Linked DNA regions of Caenorhabditis elegans. The protein of the gene in region 2 purifies or fractionates together with the protein of the main gene of each other region. This does not show direct contact. Each region holds a gene or a part of one and is shown on either strand. Other genes may lie near its edges.

Region 1 (4,219 bases), on a different chromosome or scaffold from region 2:
TCAAATTCAGTTTACGATCGGAGTGGAATTGTGCAAGCCGAGATGACATTGACATTGCATTTCTCAAGAGCATTAATTGAACAATTGACCTGAGAAAATTGAAAAATACGGTTTAAATAATTTGTTAGATTATATTTTCAACAAATTAATAAATATTTTGGTTAAAAAAAAACTTGTTCAGTATCGTGAATTGTGGTTGCTGGAGAGCAAACTAAGCAATATTCTATACTCTTTTTTAACATCGTTTGAAAAATTGGTGAAAAATGAAATTTGCATTTTCAAACTTGACGTCCTACTTACAGCACAAAAAACGCTTAGGTAACTATCATATCTTGGCAAAATAATTACGATTTTAAAATGTTGCCGACGGAAAAATGTATTTTGAATTTTTAGTGATTTGTTAGTTGACTTTTTTTGAATCCTCTTACCGAAATGGAATAGATCCTCAAGAGGATAAAACCTCATATACATAAACTCGAAAAATAATCGGCCTATAACGTAATTGGCTCTGACTTTCAATTCACATAAAAATGTATCTAAACCTAATTCAGCAATGCTATTTTGTCTCCAAAATTGCATGTCTTTGTGTGACGCAATAGCAAAAAAAGCTTAGCTCATTTTTGTGCATTAAATGTGCTACAAAATCAAAAAAAAATCATTTATTCAATAAATTTAATCAGTTTTATTTATCAGTGTTTTTTCAGTGTCAATATGTTTTATATGGTATATCACTATAAAAATATACTTTCAGAATGGATCTTCGAACATTTGCTCTTGAGCTTTTGGTTCATTTGAAACTGCCGTATTTTCAATCTCGCTTTGTTTTTCCTGAAAATGCCAATATCAAATTAACAAATGTATGATATCAACTAATAACATACCGCCACCCTCTTCTTCTTCCTTTCCGAAATCTCGATATGTTGATGTGGAGCCAAGGCTTTTGTTGTTTGTGCACTCTTCTGTTTTGCTCTTTCCAATTCAAATGAGTCAGTCATTTGACTAATTACTGTGTTTAAGAACTTCTTCCAGACGTCTGTGATTTGAGATGTGGTGTAGTTTTGAGCAAATCGCACTTTTTTGTTCTCTTTTCCTTCTGATGATGGAAGCTCCTAAAATCATATTTGTTGGGTGAAAAGGTTTTTTGTTTTACGAGGGGAGATTATGAACTTTTTTAGAAAAAAAAACCAATTTAATTTAAACAATCTTATTTCGAATAGGTATCTACAAGAATTTATAGGAAGAGGATCACAAAGAACTAAAAAATCCGATCTGAAGTAACATTTAAAAATACTTATTTGAAAATATTATTCTAATTTTTTGAAAAAACCCGCAACTATTTTGCCCAACTGGATCAAAAATTGCACCTTTTTTAAAAAGAAAAACAAACATTTTTTTGAAAACAGCTCAAGTAATTTCCTCGCTCACAAACATCCTAATCTACGTTCGGGAAAATTTTCAAAATGCTTCTCGACCGCAAAATTTCTTTTTCGAATTATATAGATTTTTTCAGAAATCAAGCTCAATTAATTCCTTTATTAGAAAATAATTTGATTGAGTTGTACTCCAAATAAACCTTCCAACAAATCAATTAGTTGAACTTTCAAACTAGCTTGACCTAACTGATCCCACAATCTCACCTGTTCACCCGTCAGAAATGGAATTAATCGCTCGATAAATACATTTATAACAATTTCGAAATAGTTCTTCTCCATCTGGTTCTGATTTTGTTCCAAGAAACTGAAAAATCATCAAATGGCATTGGACTATATAATCATACAAAGTGACGGCATTTGCACCTGCGCACTTACCCTTGTCTGACATGACTTCTTCCCGTTTTTCGTACCAATTGCCATGCACCCGTCAGATTTTCAGACGTGCCAAGCATTGACGTGAGCTGGAATAATAAATTTGAGTTCAAAAAATACTCTTAAAAATGTAGTTTAGACAGCTAACCTGCTCCATGAACTCATAGAATCTTAGAATATGCCCTCCGAATTTCGGCATTTTCAGCATCGCGGCTCGCGGAGCCCGATCCACGCCAAACACTTTCTTGAGGTCCGGTTCAATATCATTGACAATATCTAAGAATATAAGACCAACAATATCCTTCGGATCATCTAGCCTTTGCCAAGTTTCACGTAACAGAGTACGGTCTTTTTTATTGAGGGCTAAGTCAAATGGATTTTCAGATTCGTTTCCGACCCAAGATGCTCCGACTTGCTGGAAAATAATTTTTTAAAATGTTCTGTGCGTCTTTAAAGAGTACTGTAGTTCTCTATTCTTATGTACTGTTTTTTTGAAAAGAATGTAAAAAATCCAAAAATTTTTGAGAAATGTTCATCTTCCGAATCAAGCTCAAAACTCACGGTTTTTTTCTTTTTCGGTGCACATAATGTGGCACCCATTGAAAATATATAGATTTATAACGATACTTGTTTTATTAAAAATCTTAAGCACAACTTCTCATCACCTCAATCAGGAAATGTTCTGAAAATTTGAAATTGAAAGACTCTGAAAAAGGAGAAGGAGTGAGTAAACATGAAGAAGACAAATTGAATAAGCCTCAATTATGACGTGGCAATGGAATGATGATTGGATTTTTTGTGTGTTGAAGTAGTCATAAAACGGAAGACGGCTGATTTTTTATGGGATGACGGGGAACAGAGCAACATAAATTCGCGTTCACAAGGCTGAAAACTAATTTGAATTTTGGCTTAAATTGTGGAAATGGCCAGTTAGATCTTGGAAATCAAATAAATCCTAACTGAAAATTTAGCCATATTCATTGTGGAAAAAATTAGATTTTTTAGGGTTAATAATTTTGTTTTGAAAAGATCTCAAACTTTTCCTATGACCCAAAGCATAATAAAAAACTGTAGATTTTGAGAAATCTTTTAAATCTAATTTGCCTTGTTTAAAATGCTTCCAAGCAGTATAATTTTTGTGGGGACCTATTAAAATGAGCTTTTTTGAAAATCCTAATTTTCGATGAAACATTTAAAAAAATCGAAACTTTTCCTTGTCAGCTTAACACTTAAATTTGTCAAAATCTGAGACTAGACTTGAGTTTTCTCGGGGATCTTTTCCGAAAGAAAAGACGCATATCAAAAATCAGTGTTCTTCTTCCCAAAAACTTATAGAAAGTATGAATATAACCAAATGATTGCTTTAAAAAAGTGAGAAGAAGGCAGAAGAGGGAAAAATACGAAGAAGTGGGATAAACAAAGTGACAAAAAACTGCGAAATTATAGTAGAGAGTTCTGACAAGAAATAATAAGGGAAGAGAAGGAAGTAGGTGAACTATTGGTTTTTCGAATGTTAATGTTATAAATGTATTTATACGTAGGCTGTTTTATTACTTGTTAGAAGCTTGAACTCAAGATCCGGCGGGAAAAGTGTAACAGGTGCACGTAAAAGTTCAGTGGATCAAAGATTTCTGGAACGGGACAAAATTTGTGGAGTTTGAATTCAAGTTATTTTGGAACATAGTTTGCTGGTGGGGCAGATTTATAAACGGCAGTAGCAATTCATGGTCTACCGGCTTCCTAGTTTCTGGTTATTTTCTCAAATTTTTGATTTTTGCCCATTTAATTTTTTTAAACATTTTCACTTCAAATTTTGTTAAACCACGGTATTTTAAGTCCACAATTGAATTTTTAAAGAATTTATCAGAAATGTTGGTTAATCTCCAAAATCGTTCTCCGCTCTCAAAAACCAAAGTGGACGTTTGCCTCCAAAAAAATGGAGAAAAAATGAAATTGCGATTTTTGGGTTGAAATTTATATTTTTTAAAAGCTGAGAACATGTTATACACGAATACTATGTCCATTTTGACACCCAGAATATCTGAAAATATCTAAAAATTGAAGCATGAATATTTTCAGAAATTTCCAGTTAATTTGTAAAAATCGGAAATATTAAAACTGCAGATTTCATGAACAAAAATAGTCTGAAATTTGTATAGAAAACAATTCAATCTTTCAAATTCAAGCACCCGCATTGCAGAAAATAATCAATTCTCATGCTCAACTAGATAGTTTTGCTATAGTTTTTGATCAGAAATTTGATTGTTTTCACTTTGCTTGCCGCTCTCCAAATTCCAAAAGTTCTGACTTCCAAGAAAAATTGAAAAAGAAAAAAAAAGAGAAATATTTAATTTTCCAGGAATTTTTTTTGTTGATTTTTTGAAAACGAGAATTGAAACAAGTATGGAAGAAAA
Region 2 (7,848 bases):
ACATGATGAACATGAGGAGAAAGTGATAAATACTCATTGATCTTCCTTCAAATAATTCCAATGCTTCTCCCCATCGCATCAGCACAAACATCACCGAATCCAATCCAGGTATCATGTAAATGTATCTTTGCAGAATGAAAACTGCTTTTTTCGATTCCTTGCCGGTGATTAAATTGTCTAAATTCCTGCGGAATTTCTCGAAATCATCGACGTGATCATTTATGTATCGTGCTCTGTGATGCTCTAGATAAGTGTACATGGGATTTGCTCCGCCAATGTTCATTTCTACATTTTCCAAAACTTTAGTTTCTTTGATCTTGGCTATGACATCATATGCAATCCAGGCGAATGAAAGCTTCCGAGGTTCACGAGTGGATTTGGCGCACTCTATAAAAATACAGTTATTGTTTGAGTAAGTGTATGTCCCGCCAAAGCCAAAGCCTAAGCCTAAGCGTGAGCCTAAACCTATCACTGTGCCTAAACCTAATCCTGAGCCTAAACCCAATCCCATAACTTACCATAACAAGCCCGATACCAAGCCACGGCTTTCTTTCTAATCTCCTCATTCGGATTCTCACAACGGAAATTAAAGAAGTTGCTCTCATTGTAAGCATCCGGCAAGAGTGTACAAACTTCTTGGAATCCGCCAAATTGCTGGAAAAAAACAGTAAAGGTGTATACTTAGACCGATTTTTTTACCTGGAAGAAAATAGTTCTAAATTTGGACACTAAAGCTGTCATTTTCGTCTCAATCATTCGATTAGTGTTGTAGAATGACATATCGTCTTGATCCGAGTCCGAAATTCGATTTCTCATTTCAATAATGCATCCTGACATGATTTCACCTTCAGACTGGATACCGTATGTATCCATTGTGGACTGAAAATTATTATAGTTAGTCTATCCCGTCTTACTGTAGTAACCCTACAAGATGCTAGGAAATCACCAATGTAGGATTATTGTAGTAAACAATTTTCTACAGTAGTCCTGTAACAGTACCTCTGCCAGCTCGAAATCTGAAGAAAGGTACTGTAGGACTACAGTAGAGCTCTAGAAAAAACCAGATAGCTTGAAGAGACCCTACTGAATCATTTGTTTCCTAGAACTGGTGTTCACTGAAACTACAGTAATCCACAGCTGCTATATGGAGCAGCTAAGTATCCTAAGCTGCCGAAGTCGAGCCTTTTCGTTCCAAGACCCACTAACCTTCAACTGCCCATTGTAACTGGCCAGCTGCTTCTTTGCGTCTTCCATATACTCCTCAAAACCATCGACACGAATACTCTCGTCAACTTCAATCTTATACTGCTCCGACTTTTCTTCAGAGATCTTCATGGCATTATCAATTCCTTGAAACTCTCGGAACAGTTTTCCACATAGTCTTGGACTGACATACTTTGGCATATGATCGCTTCCCACGTGATAGTCAGGTACTCTCTCGGCTCGTTCCGGTGGGATCATCTCACCGGTGGCGTCATCTAAAAGTTTAGAGATAAGTTTGACGAAAAACAGCTTGTTTTTTATACCACCACTTACCAGTCTTCCATGTTGTTTGCAGCTCATCTGGGGGTTTTCCAGACTTTGAGAAATCAACGGCCTGACAGCTTTTCTTAGCCAAATTCATGCATACTCTTGAAGTCAATCCATACTGATCAGAGTTGTGGAGATGGCTGTTCGCGATCAACCCTACCAAATCTTTTTTGAGATACTCGACATAGACATCTCGCATCAAGTCGTCCTGAATTAAATTTTGAAGTTAGTCATGCTCATCAAATAAATCAAAAATTACAATGTCTTCCCACTCGTATGTCTGTAAGTTTTTCTCCACCGCAAAGTCAAACGCCTCCTCATTCCTCTCGAGTAGCAATTTCTGATCCCAAATGACAGAATACTCATCTCCATCCAAATCCGATCCTGCCATTTCATCTGGATGAGGCCTTGGACCGTGCTGTGGGAATACAACTACATCACACAAGTGATGAAGTTCTGGAATGTCGACGGCTTCAAAGATCCTAACATCCCCGGGAACTATGCCCGGGTTTTTAGTGAGCAGCACGGTTCCAGTAACAATCTCACTACCGAGAACTTTCCGATTGGAATCTCGAGGTGGGAGTATGTTCCTGTGATTTTTCGTGTATTGAACAAAGACCTGTCCGTATTGTAGAATCCCAGTCTCGTCGACAACGCCAAGCATCGATCGACCAAGCTCGCTGGGTATTTGGATTTGCTCTTTGAACAGTTGTTTGGCTGAAAACATAATTAACATGATGCATGAAACTTCTGTTTCAAAAACTTGAAAAACTCACTGATAGCAAACTTGATTGACGCCTTGACAAGGGATCTGAAGAATGGTTCATTGGACAATGTGAATCCCCAAATTGTTCTCAAGTAATCAATATCGATTCTACGGGGAAACTCCTGAAATAGATTATCTACTTGGAAGGTACTTGGAAGGCTAACGTAGGCAGGCAACATACCTTCAGCTTGTTCCTAAAACATGCCTCATCCGTCATCTGCTTGGCAAATGAAAGTGTCTGCAAATCCATCAATTCCTCGATCCTACTCGTTATTCTCCGATGACATTCTAATGACTGCATTTCGGAAACTTGATCGAGAATGTTTATTAATGGTTTGTTGAGAGCAACCAGCACCGGCGACGAGTACTTTACCATTTCCACTTGGTCTCCGAGAATTTGCTTGCCCTCGAATTTTATTTGACTTGGACGGAACACACACTTGATATTCTTGGACAATGAGATTCCATGCTTCTCCTGCCAATTACGTTCTTTGTCTAAAAGCGGGTCAATGGCAAGAACACCCTTCATTCCACGATATCGAAACTAGAATCATTAAATTATTGTAGGCGTGCATGCCAAAACCACTTACCTGAAAACAGCTTGGAACGGATCTTCCGAATGACATCAATCGAGATACTTCTTGAGCAAACTCGTAGCTCATCATTCCGACTCCGTCAGAAAATGTGTACTCGCTTCCATTTGATGATCTTCCGCCCGATAGATCGTGTGTCAAACAATAGTTGTCTGGTCCTAGGCTGACACCAGTAAGCTGAAAGTGATAGGCCCTTTAACTATTAAAGCTTCCAACACTTACCCTGCTCTGAGTAAAGCATTGACCTAATCTTGCCATCAACTTCGGAATATTTTCGATTTGCAAAAAATTACCCAATTGATTTCGAACTGAATCAATGTTCGGTTTGAACTTTGAATTCATTTTGCATGCGTTTTTATGTCGATTATCTGTATTTTTAACCATAAAGTATGCACCATTATCTCTCATTTGTGAGCTCGAGCATCCTAAGAACCCAAAATCCCGATTTGCCACTACAATTCCGTGCTCCAAGTATTTCTTGACACAAATGTCAAGTAGTTCGCCAGTTGCATTCGCTCGCATTTTTCTATTATTATCGTCTCTAAAAGTAACTCTGAGCACATGAGTTCCATCTCTATCGAAGTTTCTTAGTACTCGGTTCCCCATAATCATCTCGGGTGGAGTATAAATCACTCTTGTCGGTGTGAAGATCACTTTTCGGACTCGTTGATATCCTTCTTCGATCTCTTGTTCTGACATACCATTCGTCAGCTGCATTACTAGACGTTTTTGGCAAATTTTATGAAAGCACTGAAAAATGGTTTGTGGGTCTCCGAATGGGTAAAAGAGACCTAAGCTAAACACCCCACCTTCCAAATTGATCCAATCCGCTTTCTGCCATCAATTAAATAAATCAGATCTTCAAGTGCAGCTTCACAAAGCTTATCATTTTCCAGGTAGTAGTGAGTAATTAGACCCAAGAACTGCCCCCAGCATATTTCATCTGTAAGTACTTGATCTTTGACGATAGCTCCCCGTGACAATAGGCATTCAATTAGGTATGTGATTGCAAATTGTCTTCCGTCATTCTCATTAATTGATTGGGCGTCTATTATTTTCATCTTTGAAGGGAAACACTGAAAGCATTGCTACTTTGCCATTTGTTAAGATTAGATTCATTTGTTAGCCGATTCACTCACGTTATATATGAAGCATTCGAATGCATATGATTTCGAGCTGGTCGGATATCTTAAATATGGATAGACCTTGCCTATCGGAACATCGACTTTTGGAAAATTTGCAAATTCGATTTGGACTCCAGTTCGAGAGCGTAGACGAGAAAGTACACGATATAGCGTATCATTCGAGTCTCCCTAAAAGTTAAACTTCAGTAAGATCAAATTTTAGCAAACCCTTAATGCTAACATGTAGTCCAAGCTTCTGCTGATTTTTGGTTAAAAGTTACCTAGACCCCATTGGTCAAGTTTTACATAAATACCCTTTAATTAAACTTTCAACAAAATAAAATTTTCTAACTTTCAAAAGACATTTGTCAATCTGCAAAGCTAGTGTTTCGTCCAATTTTGTAACATGGATTTTTTGACATTCAAAAAATGACATTCAACTTACCGAATTCCCATCCGATTCCTGTTTTTGCAGTTCAATTGTGAAGAATGGACTATCAGAGATGGCTGACTCATGTGGGGAACCGTACTCCTTCGTCCCAATGCAACTGTATCGATTTGTACGTTTATAGAAAGGCTTTTGAGTCGATGGCTAAAAATAGAATCATTAATTGTGTAGCAGTAAAAGTTGTACCTTATCATCATCTACAGATCCTTGTCTAATGAGTGGTGGGCAATTGAGTTCGAAATGTATACGTGTCTTGTTCATGTCAACTTGAGGATCGACGATAATTCGACGAATCGTGTCCTTTCGGATCTAAAATAGGTGACAAGATTAATGCAGGGGTACTGTAGGGTTACTGTAGAGGATTACTCACAATAGTTTGATAGTTGATTCTCTTCCTCTTCAAACATTGAAACGTCACAGTTATCATATCAGCCCTATCGAATTCAAATTCGGCAACTATCTTGTTCAGAAGCTCATTCGCATCTGCCGATATTTTTTTGCCAGAAAATGAAATTTGCCAATGACTGATATACGTGTATCCTTGAATATTTCCAAAATACATTGCTGCCAATGGGACCTCTATATAGCAATCTAGTGTTTTTGCCCAAAAATCCGAACCATGAAGAACGATGTAAGGCCGTGGCCAATTTGCATTCTGAAAACTTGAGTTTTTGGAGGTTTTCTTTGCAAAAAAAATTAGAATTTAATCACTTACCAAACTGAATAAATAGGCCCTCATCGCATCTATTATAGTTTGATCAAATTTAGCACTGGCAACGTCATAGTTCACTTCAAAGAAGGAATCACAGTCTTGTTCCTCAACAATTTCCATCTCATGACGACTCTTGATATCGATTTTGTGATGTTGAAGAATCTAAAATGAGAAAAATTTGTTTTGTCTCTCAACTAAAAATCTCTCCTGTTTTTGAAGGCTTCTAAACTTACAAGCCCATAGGCGGAAAATCCCAAATTTAAATTTTCCAAACATTTTCATGTGAAATTCAAATTTTTAAGGAAAAACTGCCGGAAAATTGGACATTTTATGCGCTCTGTGGTGTACATCAAACTTTGATAAAAAATGTTGGCGCAAAATTAAAATTCGATGTCTTCAGGAAAAAAAATTCAAGAAATTAAAATGTTAATTTTCAACGAAAGTTTTTCGGTTATTTCAAATATTAAATGCTTTAGAAAAAAAATTTTAAGGTTAAAATTCAGTTGAAAAAAATCATTAGAAATTTTTCAACTTAACATTTTTGAAACGGAGTTGAAAACTAGTTCAGGAGAGTTTAGGAAATTTTTAATAGAATCGAAAAAAAAATCTTTAAAAGTCATGAATACTTCTAAAAAATATATGAAATTTAAAAAATTGGAATATGTTATTCAAACCTCTCAAACTTCAGTAGTAACTATTTAAGCCCGTGACTTACCGCAGGAACACTATTTAACATCATTTCGATACCATATTCGATCCTATCTATGGAATCGTCAAATTCCGGAAACTCAAGCCTGATAGACCCATTTTGCCCCGACATAACGAAAGGCCTGCAAAACGAGAAGTAATTTCACCGTTCAATTTTGTAGCCAAAATGTAAAAAAAAAAACAACACTTTTGACTCACTTTATTCAATTAGTGTAACGCGAACACGTGGTCGCTGGCTGTCCTTTTGCATAATTTTGAAGCAAAAGCGCCTCATTGAGAATTCACGTTGGCGCCAACTCTCGCTATCCATTGGGCGTGAGAGACGCAGATACTACTTTTTTCTCTGGACGTGAAAAACGCAAAGAATAGCCGTTTTGCCGTCTGCGTCTCTTTTTTCACACGCTATTTTGGCTGTGGACAAGGAATTCTCCTCTTCCAGGATTTTCTAGGCCATTTTCTCACATTTCTCAAGTTTTCTCGTCCGCGAGAAAACGTGAATTTTAAGACAGCCAGCGAGCACGTGCGCGAACATAAAATGAAAGAAAAACAACTGCTTGACAATTCGAAACAACCTCTGTTCTGAACAGCGGAGACGCAGACAGCTAAGAGACGCTAAGGATACGTTGTTATTACGAAATATCCGAATAAGAGTGAGCAAGGCGAGAATGTTCGCGAAGAAAAAAATTTAGGTATAAAAAATAATTGTGTTTTTACCGATAAAATTGATAAAAGAGGAAAAAATACGGACAAGAAGAATAATCCTCTTACAAATTTTTTGTTTGAAAATAAACTAAAATTTATCTAGTAACAAAATTTTTTCTGTAACGATATGAGTTAAAAATATATAATGTTATTCTTATAACTATTTGGGAACAATCTGAGATGTTTCCAATAAGAAAAACAACTATTTTAAAAAATATGAAATATTTAGACCAAAATTATTATATTACCAATCAAAAGATTTTTCATAAATTATTTATTTTTCTGAAACTTTGGCAAACTGTCAAAAATGTCTCAATTGACTAGTAAAACTTGTTGAAATACAATTACAACGTGGTCTCGGTGCTTTCTGAAATACTAAAAATCAACTGGCTACATATTATCTGAAAAATGCAAAAATTGAGAAAATACTTGCGACCGTATTTCTTTTTCAAAAAATGCAGATAAAAACTTCCTCCTTTTTTTTAGAAATCAACATTTATTTTGGCATACTCTTAACAATTACTTTTCTGAATTCCGCAACCGATTCCTCATCCCTCTCGATTATCCACCTGGATCTTTCACCATTTCGCGAGAGAACGAAGCAATCTCCATCAGAAATTGCTGTTTCCTTGACCAATTGCAGGAATACACGAAGATGTCGTTCTCCAGCGGCAACTGACCAGATCTTGGGTGGGAACGGGCGGTCTCCCATTCGCTGAGCATGTTTCGCTGCTGCCGTTGAAGGAATCGAATCGCGTTCCAGTTTTTCAACCTAAAATTGAACGTTTGCAAAAATTAAAAAAAAAGGAACCTACTTTGTACAACGAGAATCCGGGAATATGTTTTGAAATCGACTGATACTCCTTCCCCGTTCTTGATCCAATAACCAGTGTTGGAACATTCGAGAAGAAGGCTTGCCAGTACATCCAGCAACTTCTGAATTTCCACTTGTAATTGTCTAGTCCATTTACAAAGACTTTCAGCTCCACGTGCTCGCGACTTTCTGAAGATTCTTAATCAATTTATTTCTAAAAAAAAAGAATCTAAAAAACCTTACCCTCATCATAAATGGCATCCATCTCCCCGGAATACAAAACACTGTAAGGGTGCTCATTGCCACGTGGAATTGTTGCTTTGAAAACTGCCTTTCTGACCGTTCCATCACCACCGACCGGCTCCTCATCCGAAGTTTTCTTGAAGAAGTGTTCAAATTTGATGGCATAATTCAAAATATCAGGTGTCAGATCATCGAATTCACTAGATTT

The links.
Region 1: the proteins of rrf-2 (region 2) and glb-12 fractionate together in Caenorhabditis elegans (co-fractionation; one large-scale study listed by BioGRID). This does not show direct contact.

Annotation. Positions count from the first base shown.
Region 1 is NC_003280.10:10,729,158-10,733,376, forward strand, and holds glb-12 (GLOBIN domain-containing protein), read right to left. Parts: upstream 2,496-4,219; 5' UTR 2,406-2,495; coding exon 2,367-2,405; intron 2,221-2,366; coding exon 1,954-2,220; intron 1,895-1,953; coding exon 1,809-1,894; intron 1,738-1,808; coding exon 1,638-1,737; intron 1,110-1,637; coding exon 882-1,109; intron 829-881; coding exon 748-828; 3' UTR 647-747; downstream 1-646. Other genes in the region: mks-5 (Protein fantom), read left to right, coding at 11-93.
Region 2 is NC_003279.8:12,099,985-12,107,832, forward strand, and holds the start of rrf-2 (RNA-directed RNA polymerase), read right to left. Parts: upstream 6,129-7,848; 5' UTR 6,080-6,128; intron 6,004-6,079; 5' UTR 5,994-6,003; coding exon 5,889-5,993; intron 5,336-5,888; coding exon 5,177-5,335; intron 5,117-5,176; coding exon 4,832-5,116; intron 4,771-4,831; coding exon 4,648-4,770; intron 4,606-4,647; coding exon 4,459-4,605; intron 4,203-4,458; coding exon 4,029-4,202; intron 3,966-4,028; coding exon 3,699-3,965; intron 3,640-3,698; coding exon 3,112-3,639; intron 3,067-3,111; coding exon 2,887-3,066; intron 2,841-2,886; coding exon 2,478-2,840; intron 2,419-2,477; coding exon 2,307-2,418; intron 2,248-2,306; coding exon 1,790-2,247; intron 1,739-1,789; coding exon 1,537-1,738; intron 1,479-1,536; coding exon 1,207-1,478; intron 880-1,206; coding exon 700-879; intron 655-699; coding exon 519-654; intron 388-518; coding exon 1-387. Other genes in the region: M01G12.14 (Decapping nuclease), read right to left, coding at 7,080-7,355, 7,399-7,586, 7,641-7,848.